Linked DNA regions of Canis lupus familiaris. The protein of the gene in region 3 interacts with the protein of the main gene of each other region in a pairwise test. Links are inferred from orthologs where the notes say so. Each region holds a gene or a part of one and is shown on either strand. Other genes may lie near its edges.

The links.
Region 1: the proteins of GPSM3 (region 3) and GNAI3 interact in binary tests that used the Homo sapiens proteins (3 or more experiments, as listed by UniProt). The two-hybrid records come from large-scale screens. The link is inferred for Canis lupus familiaris from reciprocal best matches to the Homo sapiens genes GPSM3 and GNAI3.
Region 2: the proteins of GPSM3 (region 3) and GNAI1 interact in binary tests that used the Homo sapiens proteins (3 or more experiments, as listed by UniProt). The two-hybrid records come from large-scale screens. The link is inferred for Canis lupus familiaris from reciprocal best matches to the Homo sapiens genes GPSM3 and GNAI1.

Annotation. Positions count from the first base shown.
Region 1 is NC_049227.1:42,744,095-42,747,737, forward strand, and holds part of GNAI3 (guanine nucleotide-binding protein G(i) subunit alpha), read right to left. Parts: intron 2,160-3,643; coding exon 2,002-2,159; intron 1-2,001. UniProt on the Homo sapiens protein: Heterotrimeric guanine nucleotide-binding proteins (G proteins) function as transducers downstream of G protein-coupled receptors (GPCRs) in numerous signaling cascades.
Region 2 is NC_049239.1:20,150,758-20,155,153, reverse strand, and holds the start of GNAI1 (guanine nucleotide-binding protein G(i) subunit alpha-1), read right to left. Parts: upstream 2,918-4,396; 5' UTR 2,855-2,917; coding exon 2,737-2,854; intron 1-2,736. UniProt on the Homo sapiens protein: Guanine nucleotide-binding proteins (G proteins) function as transducers downstream of G protein-coupled receptors (GPCRs) in numerous signaling cascades.
Region 3 is NC_049233.1:1,716,134-1,719,930, forward strand, and holds GPSM3 (G-protein-signaling modulator 3), read right to left. Parts: upstream 2,410-3,797; 5' UTR 2,277-2,409; coding exon 2,236-2,276; coding exon of another isoform or gene 2,235-2,235; intron 2,051-2,234; coding exon 1,929-2,050; intron 1,713-1,928; coding exon 1,513-1,712; intron 1,289-1,512; coding exon 1,151-1,288; 3' UTR 1,060-1,150; coding exon of another isoform or gene 988-1,059; 3' UTR 529-987; downstream 1-528. UniProt on the Homo sapiens protein: Interacts with subunit of G(i) alpha proteins and regulates the activation of G(i) alpha proteins.

The DNA.
Region 1 (3,643 bases), on a different chromosome or scaffold from region 3:
ATTAGAGAATGGTGTTTGAATTACTAAAATTAAAATGAGAACTATGTTCAATAAGAATATTTTCTGGTTTTATTCAGGAAAAAAAAAGTTGTGGGTTTTTTAAAATCTAAGTCAAAAATATTGTAAATACTTCCAAGAAATTTATTCAGGGAATTAATTAAAAGACGGCTTCAAAGCTAAGTTAATTTTTTTTAAAGCTAAGTTAAATTTTTGGTAATTTCAGATTCCTAAAGAGTTTTTAGCTAGAAAACTAAAGAACAGGTAGCACTATTATAAGTGAATCATTAATGAGCCTCTATAAAACTAAGTACTACCATCAATGTTAAGGAATCAGGCAAGTCTCAATCAAATATTATGGAAAAAAAATTATTTACTTTTATATTTTTATTTAAAAGATTTTATTTATTCATTCATGAGAGACAGACAGAGAGAGAGAGAGAGAGAGAGGAAGAGACACAGGCAGAGAGAGGGAGAAGCAGGCTCCATGCAGGGAGCCCCACGTGGGACTCGATCCCGGAACTCCAGGATCATGCCCTGGGCCGAAGGCAGGCGCCAAACCGCTGAGCCACCCAGGGATCCCCAGGAAAAAAAATTTATAAATCACATGTTCTCTGGTGTAGTTGAAGGATTTAGAGCTTAATGAACGTATGATAAAAAATAATAACAATCTAGCTTTCATGACTACTGGGAGAATTATTGAAACTACCAACATATGCAACTAAAAAATATTAAAAGGTGGGCAAGATTAGAAATGACAAATACCCACCATTTCTTCGACATGGATGGAATTGGAGGGTATTATGCTGAGTGAAATAATTCAATCAGAGAAGGACAAACATTATATGGTCCCATTCATTTGGGGAATATAAAAAATAGTGAAAGGGAATAAAAGGGAAAGGAGAGAAAATGAGTGAAAATATCAGTGAGGATGACAGAACATGAGAGACTCCTAACTCTGGGAAACGAACAAGGGGTGGTGGAAAGGTAGGTGGGGGGGGGGGGGGTGACTGGGTGACGGGCACTGAGGGGGGCACTTGCCGGGATGAACACTGGGTGATATGCTGTATATTGGCAAATTGAACTCCAATTTAAAAAAAAAAAAAAGAAAAAGAAAAAGAAAAACGAAGACAAAAACAAAAAAAAGGTGGGCAAGAATCCTGAAATTTTTCTAAGGTTAAGTTTTCATTTCAAGATAACTAAGTTTTTCAAATATAATTTAACTTCTTCCTACAACAACTTAAATAAGAATGAAAGATAGGAAAATGTGAATATTGGAGAAAATACCTTAATACTTAAAAGTGCCTCCAATTAGAACAGAGATAGATACAGGTACAAAGAACTCACCAAGTTTCCAAAAGGCACATTAAAAACCTACATTCAGAATATAGATCTTATATATACACATGTTGTATAAGAGGCAAAATCAGCACATCAAAGCCTCACACAAGTATTAATTACACATTCTCTCAAACTATTTAACACTTAACAGAATTCCCTTGACAAACAGATGCTTTGACTTCTTACTAAGACTCAACATTCTCTGTACAAAGTCTACTATTGTGATCTGGCCAAAGATTTATTAGTGGTGACCAGTACCAGAGAAATCCATAGTGCAGGCCAGCCACAGAGTTGGATGCATAAAAAGGGATATCACATTTCTAATTTCCCTCACTAGCTGGCAATTAATGCAAAGTCCTTATGCAGAAGGAACTGCATTGGAAGAGATCCAGGATCCAGCTGCAAAAGATTTCTCTCCTCTTTCACTTACTTATTATAAACTACCATGGAGCTACTTTTCATGGTACTAATTCTCCCATTTACATTCCAAGAGGCAATGTTGTTCTCCAAGTCATACAAAATGACGAAGGGCTTGTAATTACCCTAACCTGAAATCATGCAACAGACTTCTAAAAGTGTCTGTTACTTAAGGTTTTGTCAAGGACAGACTCTGAACTTTCTTAGTGTCACCAAATTATTTTCTATTATGGAAAAATTACTCACTATGAAGCAGAATCATTGAGCTGATACTCCCTGGATCTGCTGAAACAAGCTTGCACGCCACCGTCTCGCCATAACCGTTTAATCACTCCTGCTAGTTCTAGAGTCATGACTCCTTCTTCGGCACTGCCAGCCAAAACAAATAATTGCCGGGCATCATCCTGAAGAAAGAAGTTAAGAGACAGAATGCTTCTCCGCTCCTTAAAGAACTTGACACGCACATTATATGTTTCATTATTTTAAGAGAAGTATTGAAGAGATCTTTCCAGGCAGGGCTGTCTGAGAGAATTTACAATGAAGTCACTCCCCCTACTCATTCCACTGTAGTTAGAAGTGCAGAGCTGAGCTGAGGAATGATTTCAGTCCCCCCACCACATACCACTATCTCCTAAAAAGATCTCTTCTGAGTGGCTTACATATCTCCACCCTGCTTACTCATAGCTTTTTGACAGAAAAAACCTGGTCTGTGATATAAACACATGTAACACATTACCATTTTGTTAACAAACCTACAATAAAAATAGAAACAAAAAAACTAGCATGTAAGAGGTAAAGTCTAAACACTTCAGAGCGAGTAAAACATTAATGGAGTTTAAGGAAAGTGTTCTCTTCTTCCTCAGCTCAGACAGAGGAACAGGAAGAGGAGACTGAATTATTTAAGAAGTCTAGAAGCCTAGGGGGGAAAATAAATCCCTGGGGGCAAAATTCAGTTTGTAGATTCCCCAAGGAATAATAATCCTTCAAATAAGAGAGGGGGGGGGGGAAAAGAGCAAGAGGAAAAGAAAGTTACAAAGAGATGTGATCAAAACTCATGAGTCAAAAAGCTTTATAAGTGGCTAACGTTTTTAAACCTAAAACATGAACTGTAAAGAGGACAGAAAAGGGCTATGAGAACTCTGATTATTTTGCTTTATTCTACCTACCCTTACTTGTCAAATAGTTTAAAAACAAACCCAGGTCTCAATCTTTAAAAACAAGATAGAAGAGAAAGGAACAGAACAGAACCTGGCGCCTGGCTGGCTCATTCAGAGCATGCGGCTTCTGATCTCAGGGTTGTGAGTTTCAGCCCAACACTGGAGATAGAGATTACTAAAATAAATAAATAAAATCTTTAAAAAACCCCATATACTGAAATCTCATGGGATGCTCTCCCCACCTCAAATCTCATATTTATCTGCCTTAGGAGAGTTCCAAATAACTATTAAGATGCAGATACTAAAAAAATACCCATACTTACTGGGTAAAGGAAAAGTAAAGAGGGAAAAGGAGCAATTGGTTGTATCGTAAGTGGTCATTAGGACAATAAACTAGCAAGCAAAAAGCATTTCAGACCAGAGGTGAAATCACAACCCAAAACTCCTAATACTTGTGTGTTTCCAAAACTCATGCACCCAAAAGTATGCAAAAAACAAGACTAACCATTGTGAACTCCAGTTAATGCTGTCAAACTCAAGATCTTCAGCCAAGTAATAGCCCTCCTCTAGAAGCTGCCTTTCTTAATAATAACACTTTATGCCCATCCTTCTCTGAAACTTCATCTAACATCTATATTCCCCTCTTCTCTTTTCAAAGATAAAAATTTTAAATAAAGGAACAAATGACAGAGGAAAGTTGAAAAATTACACAAATTGGCAAACATACTCAA
Region 2 (4,396 bases), on a different chromosome or scaffold from region 3:
GTAAATCTAACCCTCTACATCTTTGAAAATCATACCAATATTTAATTAATACCCATATGTGCAATATAGTCCCACTGAAAACACAGCCAAAACCTAATGATGTAGCCCTTAAAACAATGAGAGACCATAACATCCTCAAAGGTATGACTATAAGAAATGTATTCCCCTCAGGCAATTGGCCATCTCTAATGGAAAGAAACGGTCATTATAAAAATAAGTTTTTCTATTTAGGATTATCATTCCCATACCAATGCCTGAAAACTAAACCTAAAGACTTGAACCACTCAAACCCTGACCTAATTTCCTTTAGGTCAATGATTAAACTAAGTCCCTCTTTTTGAAGGCCTAATTCACTGCTCCTAACATGGATAGTAAAATATATGATTTAAAAAAAATTAATTATAATAGACAGTACCATTTTTTTTTTTTTACTAATAATGTGCATCTCATACCTGAATCTCTCAACCCAGATGTCTAAAAGACGATACATATATGCCTCAAGAAAAAAAAAAAAAATGCAGGGACGCCTGAGAGGATCAGCGGTTACAGCGTGATCCCAGGGTCCTGGGCTCAGGACCTTTGGCTCAGGGCGTGATCCCGGGGTCCTGGGATGAGTCCCACATCGGGCTCCCTGCAGGGAGGAGCCTGCTTCTCCCTCTGCCTCTGCCCCTGCCTCTCTGTGTCTCTCATGAAAAAAAAAAATGAAATCTTTTTTAAAAATGCAATATAATGAACTATTTACTATCTTAAATATACTTTGGATGCTTTTTGCCTTAAATGGAATTCATGTAATGAAAAAAACTAAAATAATTAAGAGGAAGATGACCTGATATAAATGGAAGTGACAATGGTTATAGACCACCTAGAAAACCATTTTCTATTTCTATTTGATTCAGTTGTGTTTTATATGGGACGATTTCATCGAGCTACTTACACATTTGACTTTAAACATCTAAAAAAGAACCGAAGGTCAAAACTTCACTGCTAAAGACAAATTAGGGAAAAAAAAAATGTTTTGAAACATTCCAAGAATAACATTTACGAAATAAGCCAGCATTTTGTTTATAGGAACTAGAGTGCTGGGACCCTGGGCAAAAGGGTAGAGTAGGACTAAAATAAGGAGTAAGGAGGAGAGCTGGGCCAACAAGACAGGGGTGCAAAGGATTTCTACAGAGAGAGGAGATGCAAGGGGAAAAGCAAAACACTAGAGAAAACATAGCTGATGGAATCCAGTTACCTAAAAAAATTTTAAAAATCATTCTGAAATCTAACATTGCTGGTACAGAAAAACAAAAATCTCATAATGTCTTCTGAAAATCATGACTCTTCTACACCCTCCTCCTCACTCTCACTATAGCTGGTTGTAGAGGTGCAACTTTTACTTCCACCTCACCCATTGAGCTATTCCTGTCCATGCAGGCGCTGCTCATCAGAGGTTAATCTTTACCCCCAGGGGACTCTCCCGACTATCTGGAGACATTTTCAAGGATCAAAGGTTGAGGGCGGGCGCTGCTACTGGAATCCCGTGGGCAGATGCCAGAGAACACCACGGATGCTACACATCCCACAACCTACAAGACAGCCTGCCCAACAAAGAACCACCCAGCCTAAGACGCCCATAGAGCTAACGTTTGAGAAACACCGACCTCTTCCAAACAGAAGCAAACACCAACTCCTCTGACTTTTATCCCAGCCCATCCCTTTCCAACAGACATCTAATGAAAGCATCAAACGACAGCAGAGGACTCCTTTTCCAATGGCTCTAAACATGGTGGATGGCTGGCTCAAAACTGGGGTCACAGGGAAATCCACGGAAAGGACGTATCAGAGCAGGAGTGCAGAAACTGCAGGGAAAGAACTTTGGGATCTTCCTTTTGTTTCCTTTATGTCTCAGGCACATTCCCAGCACAAGCGGACCACCTACCTGTTTCCCTGTCAAGGTGTGTTTCTTCTATGCTCCGTACACTGAAAATACACTGACCTCCGCCAAATATGGTATTTCTTGTTAACATAAAAACTTAGGTAAACAGCGCTAACTGAGAAAGATCTATACTGGGGACAAGGGTGAAGAAAACCAAGCAGGTCTTTAAGATGCAAAGTTATTTCACAGCTTGCTAGCAAAATGACTCAGATCATTATTACTTTTAGTCATGCCAAGTTTGCTGCTTCTAAGCCTACTAGTAATGGAGAAAAAAAAAAAAAAAACCACCATTTTTTCCTGCAGTCATTAAACCAATGAGACAGGAGCTTACTGAAAACAGGTTTGTGTAATATTTCTTTTATTATGGCTGGTGTAAAGCAGAAGCAGTCGCTGCTGGGGCAAATGAAGGTTCTGAGAAACCTTGCACCTGCCTAAGTAGCCATAGGGTGCATGTGAGCTGGGGGGGGGGGGGGGCAGGGAACAAAAGAAACCCCAAGTCAGATCCACAAATCCTACGCTGTGGGCATTTTCCTAATGCATCCTCCCGTCAAAACCCTGGCTTACTCTTTTTTTGTTTTTTGGCTCTTTCCGAAAGCTGGAGCAGAGCTCCGCAGCGCGCGTCTCCGGGACGCCAGCCCCGAGCACCCGCAGCAGCCCGGCCCGGGGAGGGCGCTCGGGCCCCGCAGGACGCGCCCCGGGCCCGCGCGGCGCAGGTCGGGGTCGGGGCCGGGGCCGGGGCCGGGTCCGGGGTCGGGGCCGGGGTCCGGGCGGGGTCCGCGCGGGATCCCGAGGTCCCGAGGTCCCGGGGCGCTCACCGAGCAGCAGCAGCTTGACCTCGCGCGCCGCCTTCTCGCCGTCCTCCCGCAGGTTGCGGTCGATCATCTTGCTGCGCTCCACCGCCGCCTTGTCCTCGGCGCTCAGCGTGCAGCCCATGGTGCCGCCGCCGCCGCCGCCGCCGCTCCTCCGGCTCCCGGGCCGGCGCCCCAGCGAGCTGCCCCCGCCCCGCCCCGCCGCCCGCCGCCCGCCGCCCGCTCCCGCAGCGCCGCGCCAACTCCCGCTGCCCCGCGCGAGCCCCGCCGCCCGCCGCCGCCGCCAGCGCCCGAGCCCAGCCCAGCCCAGCCCAGCCCAGCCCGAGCCCAGCCCGAGCCCAGCCCCAGCCCGGCGTCCGCGCCGCCGCGGCCCCGCCCCGCCCCGCCCCGCCCCCCGCCCCCCGCGCCCCCGCCCCGCCCCGCCCCCCGCGACCACTCCCGGGCGCGCTCCCGCGCACGTGCCCCGGACAGCGCCCCTCGCTCGGGCGCGCGCCCCCCCCCCACCCCGAACCCCCCGGCCGGAGCCGACCTGCCCCCGGGCGGCCGCGGGCGGCGCCGAAGTTGGGAGCCGGGAAAAGGCCGCCGGGCGTGGGAGCCTGCGCCGCCGCCGCGCGGGGCCGGGGTAAGGGGCTGCCGGCCTGGGGGGTGTGGGCGACGGGGGCAGCTGAGGGGGGCGGGGGGAGAAGGAGCAGAGAGGAGGGGAAGCGGGGGGGGGGGGAACAGGGAGGAGCGGGGGAGCAGCGAGGAGTGAGGGAGGAGTGGGGATGGGGGAGCGGGGAGCAGGGGGTGGGGGCAGCGGGGGGGGGGGGAGCAGGGGAGGGGGGTGGCGGGGAGAGGGAGGGGCAGGGGGAGCACGGGGGAGGGCGAAGTGGGGGGGAACAGGGGACCAGGGGAAGAGGAGGCAGTAGGGGGAGCAGGGAGCAGGGGAGGGGAGAGCAGGGAGGGAGGGGAGGAAGCAGGGGAGTAGGGAGCGGGGAGTAGGGGGCAGGAGAGCGGGAGCAGGGGGAGAGTGGGAAGCAGGGGAGGGGGGAGTGGGGAGCAGGGGAGGGAGCGGGGGAGCTAGGAGCAGGGGAGGGTGGGGGAGGAGGGAGTGGGAGCAGGGGAGGGGAGAGCAGGGGAGGGGGGAGTGGGAAGCAAGGAGGGAGAGCAGGGAGCAGGGGAGGCGCGCAGGGGGGAACCAGGAAGCAGAGGAGGGGGGAGGGGAGCAGGGGAGGGAGCGGGGGAGGAGGGGGGCCAGGGACCCGCAGAAGGTACCTCCCCCTCCCTTCCCCGTCCCCCCCTCCCCTCTCCTGTCCATTCCCACAGTTGTTTCCAAGCACCAACCATCTGCGTGGATTTTCTGGTAACTTGGCTGTTCAGCCTGCAGTTTGAAAGGCCGGAGCCTCGAACCCCCAGCGCCTCCCCAGCCGGGCCTGCCCCCGCCCGAACCCACCCCTGCGCAGATTTTGGCTCCGGATTTCTGGCACCTGGTGACCCTCTGGCACCTGGGTGAGCCGGAGCCGCGGCAGGACCCCTTCTCAGGCCTTCCTCAGGCTCCCGGCCCCCGAGTGGGCCTCGGACTTCTAGGGCTGGCGGCCCGGGAGCTGCGGGGGCCTGAGCCCGACACCCCCAAAGAAGCGCAGGTTTAGGGGCTGGACCCTTGAGGCCCCGACACCACACTTTCCAG
Region 3 (3,797 bases):
GAGGGAGGCTGGGGGAGGGGAGCCGGGGAGGAAGAGGAGGGGAGAAGAGAGGAGGAACGGGGAGGAGCTGGGGGCGGAGAGAGACACACAGAAACCGAGGAACTGGGACCGAGTGGAGGAGGGGAGAGGGACGAGGGGGCGAGGGGAGGAGGCTGGAGGCCGGGGGAGAGGAGCGGAGGCCGGGGCGGGAGGGCGGCGCGGGTCGGGGCTGGGGGGCCGCCGCCGGGGCTCCGAGTCGGGGTTCCAGGTGCCGTGGACTCCGGCCGCTAGAATGCCCGGGTTCGCAGACAGTTCCGTTCATATTTCTTGTCCTAATGACTCCCCTCCCTGTTATACTTAATTAAAACCAGGAAAGGGGGGCTGGGGGGGTATAATTAGGGAAGTCTCCAGCCGCTGCTTAATGAGCCAGTAATTAACCAGCCAGGGAGGGGAGCTGGCCTCTCGCCAGGCTAGGGAGAGAGGCGGCCTCTGGCCTCACCTTCCTGCCCCCCCCGTACCCCTCCCCCACAGCCCTCAACACCAGTCTTCTTTTAGTCCAGAGGATAATTACGTTTATTCGTACAACCAGAACATCAGACTCGAGCAGCAGTGGGGAGGCGGGGTGGGCAGTGCTAAGTGTCGGTTCACAGCCTGTAGGCCCCTCAGTCCTGGGGGCTGGGGGTGCTGGTGGTAGGGTGGGAGGATGGTCTGTCTCTTTTGCAATGCCCTGTCTCCCTTCTTAATGTGTCTCAAGGCCCTAACCTTGGGAGATTTGCCTTTTCTAGGGAGATGGAGGCCTGAGCCCTCAGATTCTGCCTTATGGGTGTCTGACTGGGGTGTCTCCACAGCTCAGGACCAAGACTTCCAGCCACTTCTTGGGATCAGAGGAGGGGGTGTCCCTCAGTGGCTAGGATCCTCTCACCTCTTCAAACTGCCGTGTACTGGCGAAGGGAGTCAAATGACCATCCTACCTTGACTATTCCCAGGGTTTGTGGACTTTTACCCCCTCTATTCCCCAGAAAGGTGGATGAGGGTGATGAATATTGAGATTTCTCCCAGGTCCTTCAGTCTCTGGCGCCCCTGCCAAGCAGGAGAAGAGGGCATGCAATGGGCTGCCCAGCTTTGAGCCCCAGGAGTGCGGAGTGCCTGGTGGGGGGGAGGGGCTCAAGTCTCAGCAGGTATGTGTGGGGGGCCGAGACCTTTGCTCCTCCATTCGACCCCCACCCTGAACTCTCAGCAGCAACTCCAGGAGCTCCTGTCCCCCTGGGGGTAGGGGAGGCTCTGACCGCTGGGCTTCCATCCGCTGGCTCTGGAGTAGAGGGAAGGGAGGTTGTCGGTAATATTTTAAGAGGAATAGGCCCTGAAAGGAGCCAAGGCTGATGAAAGGGGTCTATAGGGCACCTGTGATGGGGATGGAGGGGATCAGGCCTGGCAAAGGGGTGGATGCTGGGGAAATGAGGAGTAGGGCCCAAAAGACAACAAGGGCCAACGAACTGGCAAGCCTGGGTCTTGCCTTCTGGGGAGGCGTCTCACCTGGTGACTGAGGATAGTGCTGTAGAGCTGTTCTCTCTCCTCAAGAGGCCGAAGTGGGGCTGGGGCTATGCTTGGGGGGTTCTGGGGGATGTGGAAGGTGGCTCTTTGCTCCTCTAGGCGGCGGGACTGGGCCTCAGCCACCAAATCCAGAAGGAGCTCAGTCTGTAGGGAGAGCAGGGAGGCGGAGCAGGGCCCCAGGGCTGGGGAAAGGAAGGGTAGGGCTCAGAGACCCAGAGAAATTGGCAGACAGGAGGGGTGGTGGTGCAAGGTGATTAGGAACTTGTGGTCAGAGCTGAGGGGGAGTAGTGGGGAGTTAGGAGATGGAGAGAGGGCCCACGATGGGAATGGCCTTGGTAATGGGATCAGGAAGGATGTGGGCACCAAGGTCAGGGAGCTCCCTGGCCGGGTGAGGGTACCTGTGTGGCGGGTCCCTGGAGGAGGAGGGGACGGAGGAGCAGATCGCCAAGGCCTAGTGGTGGCATTCACAGGGGGCCAGTCCTGCTCATCCTGATGGGGGCCTTGATGCTGGGAGACATCCGGTCCAGTCAGGCGGGGGAGTGGTGGGCCAACAGCCCATTTCCTCTCTCTGTGTCTCTGTTCCTGCCTCAGTTTGCCCAAGCCCTTCCAAGTCCCCTGAATCCCCTGTCAGTACGTCTCTGCCCTATGTCGCATCACCTCCCTTTCTCCCAGTGTTAGCCTCCCCGACCCAGTGCGCAGCTCACCTGTTCACCATCCTCTTCCTCCTGGGGTCTCTCGGCCTCCATCCCCTGGGGGGAGAGAAACTGATGGGGGAGGGATAGCTGGGATTTGGAAGGAGGGCTGGAACTCTAGGTTCCTGAGGGGAGTGGGGGCTGGAAGGGGTGGGGGTGAGCCAGGGGCTGGATGCCTGGGTACTGAGCAGGAAGCTGGGTTCCTGGTCAGCCCCCCCACTGGCCCCGCCCATCCCTTTCAACTTCCTCCAGTTCTCTTTTCCCACCCAAACTGCTTGCTTGACCGCTCTTGCCCCAGGGGAACACAGAGACTGGGAAAAGCTCCTCCAGATGCAGTAGTGGAGGAGGTTCATGGTGGGGAAGGACTCTTGGCCTCCTCGTCTCCAGAGGCTCAGTAGACCCCCCCAAGGCCAGGCTCTGTTCTCTCCACTCCCCTCCTCCCCTTCAGCTCTTTCTGTCAACACAGGAACTAGCTACACAGGAAGTGGTTTTGCTCTTCAGAGCCCCTCTCCCTTCCTCAGGTCCCTTTCCTAAGAGGACCCCAATGTAGGCTTTGACCCTTCCCTGTATCCCAGTTTCCTGCAGACTTATGGGAACTGGGAGGGGCATGGTTGCATTGGGAAGCAGAGGACTCAGATCCAGGGATATTGGGCCATGAAACATGTACACATACCCCTAGCAGTGGTGCCAACCAACACACACTATTCCATAAATATGGAGTTATCAAATAGTTATCCCTGCCCTCTAGGTGCTTACAGTCTATTCAGGGGACAAGATATGTACCAAATGTGAGCCAAGGGGCAGGGGAAACTTTCCTCTGGCCATGAATAAAAGATGTAGGAATGGAATAGGGAGACAACCACCTTTCTGGCTTGGTCTCACTGCTGGTCAGGCTGGCTGGCACAGGGTGGGAGCAGGATAGAGATATTTTGGGACCTCTAAATGGCAACCAGCCATATTATGTTTGCAGCTGAGTGGCTTGGAGCATGAAATGTAATAAAGAGATCTGGTTCTACCACTTAATGCTTGCAGTCTCTGGCAAATAAAATGTCTGTGCCTCAGTTTCTCAGAGCAAAATGGAGCTTTTTTAGCATCTACCTTACTATAGAGTTGATGTGAGGATTAAATGTGTAAAAGTATTTGGCATATAGGGAATGCTCAATAAATGATAAGTTACTATTAGCTTTCAAAATGCCTCATGCCTCCATGTCTCAGGCCTATCACCATTAAAGAGGAGTAACCAGGTTTCTGAAAGGTGGATAATGTTTGAGATGCTCTCTGCATCTTCATCTTGAGGCCTGAGGAATAATTAAATGCCCTTGGAAGAGGAGGAAGGTGTGTGTGTGTGTGTGTGTGGTTTCTCCCTGGGCTACCAGACTCTTGCTTTCAGATGATACCCCAAATTAACACAGTACCCTCAACTCTACTTATTCTTGCTCTTGAAACTGTACTTAAAACCTCCATCCAAAGGGATGACATTGATCTTAGGGCGCAAAATTCTGAAAACACTATGTAGCCATTCCCATATTTTTTCCCATCCCACTCTTAAAAAAAAAAAAAAAGTTAACATTTCAG